2 linked regions of the Cricetulus griseus genome follow. The protein of the gene in region 2 purifies or fractionates together with the protein of the main gene of each other region. This does not show direct contact. Links are inferred from orthologs where the notes say so. Each region holds a gene or a part of one and is shown on either strand. Other genes may lie near its edges.

Evidence for each region.
Region 1: the proteins of Fntb (region 2) and Dyrk1a purify together in Homo sapiens (affinity purification with mass spectrometry; 3 studies listed by BioGRID, counting the BioPlex papers as one). This does not show direct contact. The link is inferred for Cricetulus griseus from reciprocal best matches to the Homo sapiens genes FNTB and DYRK1A.

What each region holds. Positions count from the first base shown.
Region 1 is NC_048597.1:3,175,969-3,183,036, reverse strand, and holds part of Dyrk1a (dual specificity tyrosine-phosphorylation-regulated kinase 1A), read left to right. Parts: intron 1-1,515; coding exon 1,516-1,816; intron 1,817-2,562; coding exon 2,563-2,687; intron 2,688-6,425; coding exon 6,426-7,046; 3' UTR 7,047-7,068. UniProt on the Homo sapiens protein: Dual-specificity kinase which possesses both serine/threonine and tyrosine kinase activities. Exhibits a substrate preference for proline at position P+1 and arginine at position P-3.
Region 2 is NC_048598.1:126,621,819-126,628,886, forward strand, and holds part of Fntb (protein farnesyltransferase subunit beta), read right to left. Parts: intron 2,365-7,068; coding exon 2,235-2,364; intron 1-2,234. UniProt on the Homo sapiens protein: Essential subunit of the farnesyltransferase complex. Catalyzes the transfer of a farnesyl moiety from farnesyl diphosphate to a cysteine at the fourth position from the C-terminus of several proteins having the C-terminal sequence Cys-aliphatic-aliphatic-X.

The sequences.
Region 1 (7,068 bases), on a different chromosome or scaffold from region 2:
TTGGAGGTGCTCGGGTGTTACCAGATAGTCACTTTGCTCAGTCTTTCTCTAGCTCTTCAGTTGCATAGATGGCCGTCAGCTTAGTGCACCTGTCCTTGTTTCTTATAAAATCAGTTTCCTCTTCTGAGACTCTGTCCAGTCACATGTGCTGTCTGCATTTTTAACTATACACCTTCCATTCATTATTTAAAATACCTGCCTGCCAGTTTCACTGCCTGGGTCATTTACTGGTATAGATTGGTTGATAACCCATTTTCCCCACTAAATTATGGGCTCTGTTGTTGGTGTAATTCTTTAAGAGTCTGTCTCTCTTTTGAGAATGGTTGAGATTTTAAGTGTCGTTTTCCGTGGGAAGCAGCACACATGTCTTGTGCACTGCCAGGCCACTAGAATAGATAGGGCTGGCATTAGCTGAATCTGGAGTTGAGTGTTTGGTGCAGTTTGTGCTTGTTTTTTTTTTTTTTTTTTTTTAACCATGAGGAGGAGGCTCCTTCAGGCATCATGTGCTTGTGGCTGGAGGGGTCTGGAGCTCTGTGTGCTTTGACACCCACCAGCAGCCCAGCTGTTCACCTTCTGGCTGCCCACATGTGCTGTCAGGGTGTGGTCAGAACTAGGCTGGACTGTCCTTGCTCATGTCTGCCTTGCTGGCTCTCTTCCCATTAAAGGGCTCTTCTAACCTGATAGTGGCTGCCTGGGGTTGTGGTTACTGGGAGACACTTCTGACTGTGCTCATGTGTGATTTGTCCTGCTTCTTCACTTTAAGGGACCATCTGAAAAATCCCTACACTGTCACCCAAAGTCCAGTGGTTCTGCTGTGACCTTGGTGTTTTAGAGAGGTGTGGGGTATCCGAGCAGACTAGTGTAGACCAATGTGTTTTCACTCTGAGTGGTGCATACAGCTTTAATGAGCCACCCCACCATTAGGGAGGCAGTGCAGTGTGCTCTCGGGGTGCAGAGGCAACCTGGCATCGTGGTAGACACCCTTAACCCTAGTTCCACTATTGGCAGAGGCAGGCAGGTTTCTGTGAGTTTAAGTCAGCCTAGTCTATGTAGTTAGTTGTAGGCCTGGCAAGTCTACATAGTGAGACCCTGTCTCAGAACAAACAAACAAAACTTAGGTACAGAGTAGAAGAGGTCAGAACCCATACTTCTACAGACACCTTCACAGTGATTGTTTTATACTTGTGGTTTCTGTGCCGCCCCGTGTTTACTTGCTTGTGTGCTTTTTTCACAATCATGTTCCTGGGTGAAGTTGTATGAGCGCTGCTATAGGCTGGCCATCTTCTGTGTGCTTGCTGCTGAGCTACACTGATCTTCATAGCCTTGAGTTGTTTGCAAAGCTGTATTGGATTTCGTAGCCACGTGTGTTGTGTGCAGAAGTAGGGCGTCTAGCCATCTCAGGAATTGTCTTCCTCACAAAGCCTTGTACATGTAAGTGCCTCGGATATGTGGAGTAAATCATGCAAATGTTACATCCCCACAAAACTTAGAGACAGCTTTTGTTTTCTCTAACAGGAGTACAAACCACCAGGAACCCGTAAACTTCATAATATCCTTGGAGTAGAGACAGGAGGGCCCGGCGGACGGCGAGCTGGGGAATCGGGTCATACTGTAGCCGACTACTTGAAGTTCAAAGACCTCATTTTAAGGATGCTTGATTATGACCCCAAAACTCGGATTCAACCTTATTATGCCCTGCAGCACAGTTTTTTCAAGAAGACAGCTGATGAAGGTACAAACACGAGTAACAGCGTGTCTACCAGCCCCGCGATGGAGCAGTCTTCAGGCACCACCTCCAGCACGTCATCCAGCTCAGGTCTGCCGCCCACTCACCTCGGGTCTTGCTTGCACGTGCTTTCTGTTTGCTTGCTAGAGTGGGATTCTTTTAAAGTATTGATAAACTAATTTTTAAATTTTAATTCATAAAGTAAAGCAAGGGATTGTTTTACTTAAGTGTTGTTTGTATGTGTGTGGCCTTAGTCTGGTCACCTGTAAGAACCTCCTTTCTGTATAGTTAGCAAATTCAGTCTGTGATTATGTGTGTGGTAATTGTCTGCCTGACAGTTGGAAACAAAGCTACGTGTTAGCTAAATTTCTAAGTGATTTTAAATGGAGTTATTTTTCAACATCTTGAATTTTTCCTTGACTTAGGCGAACTTGGCTATATTAGTGGCTGATGTGGGGAGATGTCTTCTGAGGCTCAGGAACATGTTGTTTTTCAAGTTAATACCATAGTTTGAAGGTTTTGTGTGTCTTTATATGTGCCATGTGGTACATTTATCTGAGTGTGCATACGCACACCCCTGAGGTCACACATGGAGGCATGACACTGTCTGCCTTACTCCCTAACAACACAAGTCTCACTGTACCAGGCGGCCGCCTGTTTGAGCCAGGCTGGCCAGTGAGTTCTTGGGACTTGTCTCCTTCTGAAGCCCTGGCGTTGTAGTCAGCCTGGCCTTTCACAGGGCACAGCAGCACTGAGTGTCTCCCTCCCTGTGTTAAGAGTTGTAAGGAGCAGAGCTCACACTAAGCTCACAAGTGTTCCCTCTCCTGATACTGAAGGTGGATCCTCGGGCACGAGCAACAGTGGGAGAGCCCGGTCAGACCCAACGCACCAGCACCGGCACAGTGGTGGACACTTCACGGCTGCTGTCCAGGCTATGGACTGTGAGACACACAGTCCCCAGGTGAGCTCTCCCTCCCGGGCTCATGTCATGGCCCACTAGCTTTAGCTGTGGCAGCTGCCAAGGGCTGTTAGGATGTTTGTGTCTGTGATGTCCTCACTGCTGGAGGCGAGAGGACACCCTGGTAACTCTCCTCCTCCTTGGTAGAAATGATGAGAGCATGCACTGGATACACCCCACTGCCCTTTCAGGCATTTCCCCATTTATTCCGTCATTTGCCACAGCAGCTCCTGTGCCCCGTGCAGTTTGACCCCACTTTTTGGTGGTGCCGAGACTGCAGATGCCGCCAGTCTCCCTGAGCTACACAGTCTGGGTCTCTGTCGTCGCCTCTTGTGACTGCACTCCCAGACCTGGTTTCTGAATCAGTCTGTATTTTTGTTTTTAACTTTGTTTTTCTTTTTAAACTTACTGATTTCAGGAGCCTTAGCATTAAAGTGATTTTTTACCTAACTTTAAAATGAGTGTGAAGCAGGTGGTGGTGGTAGAAATGTGAACCCTGCTCACTCTTCGCTGCTGTGACAGAAGTAGCACGGAAGGAAGTCATTCATTCTGTTAGGGCAGGCAGGATGGGCGGGCGGGCGGGAGCAGGAGGTTCCCTGCTCGCAGCGCCTCTCTCTCTCTCTCTCTCTCTCTCTCTCTCTCTCTCTCTCTCTCTCTCTCTCCCTCTCTCTCTCTCTCTCTCTCTCTCTCTCTCTCTCTCTCTCTCTCTCTGCCTGGGGCTGGGCTACAGAGCCTCCTTCTGCAGGGGCTAGTGCCAGCGGGGAACAGTGGGAGGGGTTTCCTGTTCAGACAAGAGCTCATGATGTTATGAGACAGCATGCCTCCACACTGTCTGCCACATTGTGGTTTGTTTTTTTGTTTGTTTGTTTTTGTGGTGAGAGACCAGGCAGTTACTTGGTGGAGTAAGTAAAACCTATGCTAGATTGGTAGTTCCCTTTCTGTGACTGGGCCTCTTGGTTCTGCTGAAGAAACCCTCACATAGTTGTCATCCCTGTTAGCATCCACCAAACTCTATTAGGTAATTACACACTTCTCAGAGTCCCATCTCCCTCTGTTCTCTGTAAAATGCTGCAGAGTTTTCTACTCTCTCTGACTCCCCTGCCTTGGATGGGGTATTCAGACAGTCACTCTCCATGTTGTGCAGTGGTGCCTGTGCACACAGTTGTGTGGGTCCTAGGCAGTTGGACTCAGGGCAGCAGGGTTAGTGGCAAGTGCCTTATCTGCTGAGCCATCTAGCTGGCCAGTTTTTGAACAGTTGATACAGTGGCATGGTAACAAAAAAAAAAAAAAAGAAATAGCACACAGGGTTGTGAAAAGTCCTTTATCATGTCCACTAGTTTAGTACAAACTAACATTAGTAGCTTTTATATCTTTGAAAAGATATTCTTCATGTAAAAGTCAATCTAATTATATGTCATCAGATAATATGTATTAGCCAGGCAGTGTTTTATATGCATATACAATATTCTATACACATCCAAACACCTACTCTAGGTATGGTATGCACTCCAGCCTGTATATAAGCTGTCGTACCGCACATACTTTTACATCTAGGTTTTTATGCATTTGGCATGAATGTGATATCCTTCCTATATCAAAATAAGGGATGCTTTTATCCTGTCTCATGGTGTTATATTATCTAAATATTCATGAATCATTTCATTCATAGCTTATTAGTGGGCATTTTGTCTACTTCCAGTCATTTTTGCTATTTATAATGGCATAATAAAAAAAATCTTTATATGTGTGGCAGGGGTGAGGTAATGGTGTTACCCACCTTTAATCCTAGCACTCAGGAGACAGAGGGAGGTGGATCTCTGTAGACCAGGCTGGGCTTGAACTCATAGATCCACCTGCCTCTTACCCCCCAAGAGCTGGGATTAAAAGTGTTTACCACCACCGCCTGGTTTATAATTTTATAATTAACCATTTGCTAATGAGTCCAGCACATGAGCGTCATGCTAAGCACGTAGCTCTGTCAGACAGCACCCTACTGCAGTCCGTGTTGGGATTTGTTTATTCTGCCAGTGTCATCTTTCTCCTTGCCTAAGGTTATAGGTGTGCATCAGGGGTTGGCCTGTCCCGTGGGTAGCAAGGCCCTTCCATACAGGGTGGACGGCAGTATCAAGTACTCCTTATCTGAGGGTGCTGGGACTCCAAGCACTTCGATTTCAGTTCTTTTAGATTTTGCTGTAGCTGTTCACTTTTTACCAGTTGAATGTCCCTAATCTGAAATTGTTAAATGCTCTCATTTCAAGTGTTTCATACCAGAGTAAGGATGTTCAACCTGCATTTTCTTTTGTGAGATTATCTTCCAGTTTTGTCCTCCCCTACTGGATTTTCAGGACTTTTCATTCCCATGTAACTTTTATTAAATAAGAACTTAACATTTTGTGCTAAACTAGTGGTAGAGACAGCTTTTGCCTTTTCAGAGGTTACATTGACACAAGTAAGCAGCAAAACACAAAAATGGCAAGTGATACTTACAGAAAGGGAAAGTCTAGAGGTGTGCGCCTCTGGGGAGTTACCTTCATGGTGGTGGCAAAGCCCTGGGCAGTGCAGACTCCAGTGCAGGCAGCCAAGGCTCGTGAGGTATAGTGACTAACAGACTAACTGCACACTATCTGAGTAAATCTGAGAGGATGCAAGAGTTTTCCCTCCTTGAGTGTAACAGAGAAGCAGCTGATGCAGTGTCCAGAGCACTGCTGTGTCGCCCCCGTGTGACTCCACGTGCCCTCAGGTCAGCTGCCCAGGCCATGGTGCCCAGCAGACAGACCTAACTGCACTAGATACAGTGAGTGACATCTAAAGTCACGCTCATTTCAGCCACAGTTGTGCTGATGGCTGTGCCCAGCATGAAGGGGGCTGGAGAGTCCGGTACAGTCATGTTGTACATAGAGGGGCACATCAGTAGCCTGGCCACAGAGGGCTGGGGCAGCATGAGTCAGAACATCCGGGAACTCAGGAACTGACATGGCGATTTTAAAAGGGGAATGTAAGCAAAGATTAGAAATAAACGTGCTCTTGATGGGAGAAAGCAGCAAGTGCAGATGCCATGAGTCTCAGGTCAGGTCAGGGTGAGAAGGGTCTGGGGAGATTGGGATCCAAGTCCGTAAAGGAATGAGTTGATTTTTGTTTTGAAAGGATAGTCTTGCTTTTCTCAATGGGTTGAGAAGAACAACTGTGGAAGCGGGGGGGCGGGGGGGGGTGTTAAATTTTTTATTTTGTGAAGAGGCCTTTGCATTAGCCTAGGCTAAGTGGTAGTGGTGATGGCGGTAAGAAAAGTGGTCAGATTTGGGATCTGGTCTGAGGTATCTCTTTGGTACTTCATGCTGGGTTGAGTCCGGAGGAATTGTCAGACATCTGGGTGGATACGAGTCCTTTTATTGTATCAAGAGATCTGGAAGGAAGAGGGACTTCAAGGGGAAATGAAGGCTCTCATGGACCTGCCAGATGTCCTGGTGGTTCCTTATAGAAAGCTTACTGACCTGGTGTAGACGGTGACATGGAGACCTGGACATGAGTGTAACTTCTTAAAATTGGCTGATTTTAATTGTAAAACATTTTTTGCTCTGGAATTTACATAGAATTTTATGGTATAGAACTATCTAGTGTGTTAAAAGCTTCAACAACCCCCACCGCCACCAACCCCAAGTTCACCCACCTGAGTGCAGATGCTCAGGTGTAGGTTAAGCTTGGAAGCAGTGCTGAATAACCCTTCCTTAATGTCTTCCCTCACAGGTGCGCCAGCCATTCCCGGCTCCTCTGGGCTGGTCAGGCACTGAAGCTCCTACACAAGTCACTGTTGAAACTCATCCTGTTCAAGAAACAACCTTTCATGTAGGCCCTCCGCAAAACGCATTGCATCATCACCATGGAAACAGCTCCCATCATCACCACCACCACCACCACCACCACCACCACCATGGACAGCAAGCCTTGGGTAACCGGACCAGGCCAAGGGTCTACAATTCTCCAACAAATAGCTCTTCTACCCAGGATTCTATGGAGGTTGGCCATAGCCACCACTCCATGACATCCCTGTCTTCCTCAACGACTTCTTCCTCCACATCTTCCTCCTCTACTGGTAATCAAGGCAACCAGGCCTATCAGAACCGCCCAGTGGCTGCTAACGCCTTGGACTTTGGACAGAATGGAGCTATGGACGTTAACTTAACCGTCTACTCCAATCCCCGCCAAGAGACTGGCATAGCTGGACATCCAACATACCAATTTTCCGCTAACACAGGCCCTGCACATTACATGACTGAAGGACACCTGACGATGAGGCAGGGGGCTGATAGAGAAGAGTCTCCCATGACAGGAGTTTGTGTGCAGCAGAGTCCTGTAGCTAGCTCGTGACTACATTGAAACTTGAGTTTGT
Region 2 (7,068 bases):
CAAAAGTCTCTTAAACACAGCTTGGGGCAGAAACTCAGGGAGGGCCACCTACCTGTCTCTTCTTATCGCTGCTCAGGGGAGTGTGTTCAAAGCAGAGAAGGGAAGTGTTGATCTAACCTCACCAGATGACATCAAGCTAGTCCTGCCTTTACCTGGTACCTGACGGCATTCACTCCAGAACAGGACTGAAGTTGGAGGCCAAGGATAACTCCCTGGTCTAGCCTGGGGAACCTGGTTAGGTGATGTAAGGAAAACCTTATTCTGAAGCTATATACTGTCACCCAGAGGCCACACAGGACATCACCACTCCTGGCTTATCACATTTCCTGAACACACAACATCAAGATAGCCCTGGAGGGATGAGCAGAACCAACTGGCTGAGCAGATACAACACTCTTCCCTCCCAGCCCCAGGTCTCAGAGCTGCAGCACTGGACTGAAAGGGAACAGTGTGCTATGCCCAACATCTGGAGCCCTCCTAGAGCAAGTTCCTGAGCGTAGACCCAAGGAACTCTCTAGAGGGAAACCTGGACCGCCCGTAACTATAATGGAGTTTAGATTACATCCCTGGTCATGGCAGCGCAAAAGTCAGTCTCAGATTCCTAAAGGGACAAAATCTTGTGGGTTTAGGTAGTAACACCTCCCTAGTCAGTCTTAAATGAAACTATGCTTCAGGGATTGCCATTTAATGGCAGTAGGCTAAGCATTCAAAAGGAAAGCAGGGGTGGGAGACTGGGGGACCCCACAATGTGAGTGGATTCAAACCAGCCTAACTGTTTTTGTTCCAGTGTCTAAAGCCATGGGTTGGTTCCACATTCCTTGCCTATAGGATGTCAAAGGCCCTCAGATAGAGATGTTGGTCCCCTCCCCCTCTTGTTTTTTTGAGACAGGGTTTCTCTGTGTAGTCCCGAGTGTCCTGGAACTCACTCTGTAGACTAGGCTGGCCTTGAACTCAGAGCTCTATCTATCTCTGCCTCCCTGGTGTTGGCACTAAAAGCTTGCACCACCACCGCCACCACCATCACCACCACCACCACCACTGACTCAGGTGTTGGTTATTTACAGCAAAGGGAGGGAAGGGGGTCCCTGGGAAAGAGAGGGCTGACATGTATGGAGCACCTCCCCTCTACAAGGCTGCTTATGTATGCTCTCTTCTCTAATCCTCAGAGAATACTGATTATTAGCCCTACCTTCCGGAAGGAAAAGAGACAGTGCAGCTAAAGCAGATTAGACAACTGGTCCAGGGTGTCTTGGCTGAGAAGATGAGGAGGGGTTCAAACCTACACTATTGTCATTGTAACTTAGGCAAGCACTATTATATTCTTTATTTTTGCCTACAACTTGGGACTTTACATTTCATCTCTTGGTAGTGATCAGACTTTAAAATGTCTCTACAAGTGGGTCATTCGATATCAATTTTCCAGAACCTTCATAGAGTATGCCATGTGAGAGGCTTTCTCTCTTACACAATGAGGGCAAAATGCTGCTTGTCACACCACAAAATATAAAAGCAACTCTCTAGAGGGCTCACAATGGCTCAACAATGAGGGCCTGGCATCTGCACTCACAGAGAGCTGAATGTCAGTTGTAGCTGGTTTGCTTTGATGATGGCCAGGGGAGCACATGCTCCCTAAAAGACAAAGGGAATACACTCTCTGTGTGTTCTAGGCTTCTCTTAAGCTGACTGATTTCTGAACACTGGCCAAGAGCTTAGGGTCTAGAAGACATGTCCAGACCTCCTGATAACAATTCTCCTGCTCTGGCTGGAGAACTTGCTGGAATGCAGATACGGAATTTTCACTGGTAATGGGAAGTTTTCACAGGTAATAAATCTTTGGCCCTAAAATACTTCAAAGCTCTTCTTACAGCTTCTTCTCTTAGAAGATTCTAAGACACATGATAATACTGAATCCTAAGGGACCGTAGCTATTTTTCTTGGGTTTGGGGGCTCATTCCAGGTGGCCAGAGGACTCAAGACCACTCAGTCTGTGCAGAAACTTCAAAGCAGCCAGACGGAGAGGTAGGAGAGGGGAGTCAATGAGAACAGTTGTCTGCTCTTTCAACTGACTTACAACGGTGCTGAGCACGACAACTGCACTGGAAGCTTCCTACTGGGACTAGGAGTCTGCGCTAAGGCTAGAGCTCTGCAGCCCTTCCCATCACAGACCTCCCATGGTCCCAGAATGCCATCACCAGACCAGGGCTTGGGGAGAGGATGGTGCAACAGCTACTCACTAGCAAGTTCTTCAGTTTCAAAGAGCGTTCCTTCTTGAGGATTACCAGCGCAGCCAAGCCACAGAAGGTGTAGCCACCATGGGCTTCCATCCCTGGCACTCCACCAATGCCGCCTTCCCAGTTCTGGCACCTACGAGAGTGGGAAAAGGAAGACATGGCAAGTGTGTAGATGGGGACAAGTGTCCTCCCCATATCCTGGGTACAGAGAATAAGTTTGCTCTGATTAAAGCAGAAGCCATTACTCTCATGGATACAAGTATGCTGATTTATTAACTTGTATGCATGTATACATGTGTGTGTGCGTGCATGTGGAGGCCAGAAGTCAGCTTTGGGTGTCGCTCCTCAGGATAGCTATCTACTTTGCTTTTTGAGAGTCTCTCACTAGAACCTGGGGCTCATATTTTTGGCTAGGATGTATTGGCCAATCAATTCTGGTGATCCCCTAAATCTGCCTCCCCAGTGCTGGGATGACAGGCATGTGCCACAATGCCTGCCTTTTCACATGGCTATTGGGGGTTGGATTCAGAGCCTCATGCCGTGCAGGAAGCACTTTGGGGGCTGAACTATCTCCCCAGACCCTGACGTATTCATGTTTGCAGATTCCTTTCCCTAGAAAACAAAACCAAAAGACTTGGAGATTTAGAAGCTGTCCACTTATGTAAGAGAGATAGTAGCACAGGTTAGTACTCACTGGGGGAAAGTCTCAAAGTCCCTATACATACCAGAATCATCAAGTTAAAGTAAAATCGAAAAATAATTGCTGGCTTTGGTTATCTGTGAGTACCAGGTCTATTAGTGAGTGTGTTTTATTTTTGTCTAGTTTCTTCTTTTTAACTCTAGCTCTGGAGACCAAACTCAGGACTTCACAGATGCGGGTCAAGTGCTATACTACTGAGCCACATCCCACCTCTCTTATTTCTATATATTTCTCTTATTTCTTTCTTTTCTGTTTCTGTTTGAGATGGGACTTCATGTAGCCCAGGCTATCCTTGAGCTTTCTGATGCCCCTGTCTTGTGTTACCTCCACCCTTCAAGTGCTGGGATGCAGATGTGAGACACCATGCCTCAGATTTTGGGGGAGATGTTTTGTTTTTGTTTTTTATTATTATTATTTGTTTTGGTGGTACTGGAGCGCAAACCCAGAGTGTTGTACATGCCAGACAAGCAAGCACTCTACTACTGAGCCAGACCTCAGCCCACTCTTTGTTTTGTGACATAGGTCTCCCTAAGTTGCCCAGGCTGGCCTTATACTCACTCTGTAGCCCTGGCAGGAACTGCTTTGGGGATGCTCTTGTTTTAGGCTCTGGAGTAGTTGGAATACAAACCCACACTACCAGGCTGCCTGGCTTAAAATTCCTAACACACACACACACACACACACACACACACACACACACACACACACACACTTAAAAAAAAATTGAGCTATGTGTTACTGTGTTGCCCAGGTGGGCTCAAGTGATCCTTTCACCTCAGCTTCTCCAGTAACTGAAATAGCCGGGTGTGATGGCTCATGCCTGTAATTTCAGGAGTTAGAAGGCTGAGGCGAGAGGATTGCCTGGCTACAGAGGAGATCCTGTCTCAAACAAACATACAAACAATAAAACCTTAAGTATAAGACTGTTCCCAGCTTGTAAATGCTCAAAAATAAACTTTATTTTTAAATTTTAGGATTTTCTATATATTTAAAATATCTAAGATGGTGTAATAGCACACATCTTTAGTCCCCGTACCTGGGAGGCAGAGGCAGGCAGATCTCTGAATTGGGGGCCAGCCTGCTCTACATGAGCTAGTTCCAGACCATCGAGAGCTACATAAGACAGTTTCAAAAATCTAAAAAGTAAAAGAAAATATCCATTTATTGTGATAAATGTTATTTGGGGTTATACTACCTATTAATAGTGTGTTTTCTAATCAGAAAGCATGAGCATATATATGTACGTGTGGTGTGCATACATGTGTGCATATGTGCGTGTGCATGGCAGGTGTACATACACATTCCTGGGTGAGCATGCACGTGTGTGCAGGCTCGTGTGCAGGCCTGAAGTTGGCTTTAGCATCTTCTTTGATGGATCTCTATTTTATTTATTGAGGTGGATTCTGGGTGAGCCTGGAGCTCACCAATTCTGACCAGTCTGGCTGGTCTCACATTGCCCAGGGAATTGGTGTCTCACATTGCCCAGGGAATGTCCGGTTTCTGTCAGCCAAGAGCTGGGATTACAGGCAGCTGCCATGACTGCCCAGAGTTTACACGGTGCTGAGGATCTGACCTCTGGTCCTCATGTTTGCACAGCAAGGGCCTTATCTACTGCCGTCTCCCCGGCCCATGCAGAATCTATGGATCAGCCAGGCAGGGCCATTTCTAGGAACTGACTTTACACAATAAGCAATAGTGTGTCCAAGGAGCACACTGTAAGAATGTTGGCTACATTCCTTTTTTAAGAGCAGAGTGTCAGGCCAACTTAGAAGTTCAAATGTGGGGGAGGAGGGGCTCTTCTATAAATTATGGCACATCTGACAACAAACTACTATCCAGTGTTTAAATAGTGTTACAGATCTGGTTATGAAAATGCCTCACTTCTTATAGGAAATACTAGAAAATAACAATGTGCTATATTATTGAATTTCCAGAACACTGGAAGAAAATACATTAAAAAAAAAAAAAAAGGTCTGAAGCCACACATGCTGTTAGACCCAGCACTTGGGAAACAGATACTGGTGGATCTCTGTGACTTTCAGGTCAGCCATGGCTACACAGTGTGCCTCTGTCTCAAGAAAAAGAAAAGCAACAACAAAATATGTATGATAACTAGTTTTAATTGTCATCTTGACACAATCTGGAGTCACCTGGGGAGAGCTTCAATGAAGGACTGTCTAGAAGGCTGGCCTGTGGGCGTGTCTGTGGGAGAGTGTCTTGACTGTGTTCACTGATGTGGGAAAGCCCAGCCCACTGAGGGCAGCACTGGATCCTGGGTTGGGTCCTGAGCAGTGTAAGGGTGGGGGAGTGGGCTGAGCACTAGCAGAGTAAGAGTGGGAGAGTGGGCTGAGCACTAGTGGGCACACATGCATCCATTTCTTTCTGCTCTTGACTAGCAAGTTCCTGTTGCCTTTACTTACTTCTGTCTATGATGTAACCTAGACTTCTGAGCTAAAACAAACCACCACCACCCTCCACCAAATGATTTCTGAAAGGATATTTTTATAAAAACAACAGGAAACAAAACTAGGACTTTCTCCTTGCCTAACTATAACAAGCATGGTTTTTTTGTTTGTTTGTTTGTTTGTTTCTTAAAAATTTTATTTATTAAGTATACAGTCTCCTGCCTGCATGTGTCCTGCAGGCCAGAGGAGGGCACCAGATCTCATTCAAGGTGGTTGTGAGCCACCATGTGGTTGCCGGGAATTGAACTCAGGACCTCTGGAAGAGCAGTCAGTGCTCTTAACCTCTGAGCCATCTCTCCAGCCCAAATAGCATGTTTTATCTACACACTACAGACACATGTTCTGCTTTCCTTTTCTTGTTTTTTACACAAAGAGGAACACGATACAACCTCTTCTGTGCCTTGCTTTTTTTTTTTTTTTTCAGTTAATAAAACTCTTTGGAAATGACCATGGTGGCATATTGCCTGTAATCCCAGCACTTAGAGGTAGAAGAAAATGAGAGTTCATGGCCAAACTCAACTATATAGCAAGTGCAAGGCCAGTTTGGGCTTCATGAGATCCTGTCATCAACACACAGTTGGGCAACATAAAGGACTGACTACCAGAGCCCAATAAAATGGAAATAAGAGGATGTAAAAGGTACAAATGGCCAGGGTAAAGAAAGCAGAAGAGGCAGGGTGTTGGTGGCACACTCCTTTAATCTCAGCACTCGGGAGGCAGAGGCAGAGGCAGAGGCAGAGGCAGAGGCAGAGGCAGATGTCCTCTGTTCCAGGACAGTCAGGGTTACACCTGGAGAGAGGAGGAGGGAGAGGGAGAGGAAGAGGGAGAGGGAGAAGGAGAGAGAGGGAGAGAGAGGGAGAGGGAGAGGGAGAGGGAGAGGGAGAGAGAGGAGCTTGCAAACAGGAGAGGACATGAACACAGGCTAACAACAAAACCCTAAAAGCTAGATGACAGGGCTAAGGGTCCCTAAACAGCTGGTTAGAGAAGCCTTCCTCAGTTCTGGGTCAGTGGTGGAGAAGCAGTGCTCTTAAACTCTGAGCCATCCCTCCAGCCCCTTGGCTCACTTTCATGTAATGACTTCTCATCAGCCTTTTAGTGATGGACTCCATATGAACAGAGTAGCTAAGCACTAGATGTGTGCACAAATCTCCAGTATGAACGAGAGACCCATCCTCAAAAGCAAAGGAGACAATGCTGGGCACAGAAGAAAACTGCTTAATGTTCCGTCTTATTTTTTATTTTTTAAAGACTTATTTAGTTTTAGTGTGTGGGTGTTTTGCATGCATGTATGTTTGTACACCGTGCGCAGTGTTCATGGAAGCCAGAAAAGGGCATCAGATCCCCTGGGAACTGTAATTATAGTAGGTTGTGAGCTGCCATGTATGTGGTTGCTGGGACTTGAACCCAGGTCCTCTGAAAGAGTAGCCGGTGCTCATAACTGTTGAGCCATCTCTGTAGCCTCTTAAAGTTGTATCTTAGATAATACCATATGAAGAAAGTTACAAGGATGACAGAGCAGAACATCTGAGAATATAAAAAATGAGTACTCAGGAGGGGGGCAACTGAACTCTGGAAAATTAAAAGCAAGATTAGAGAATGAAACCGCAACAGAAAGATGAGAAGATAAATAGTAAGGGAAGGTCTTGGAAAATACAAGAAAAAGTTAAGAGAT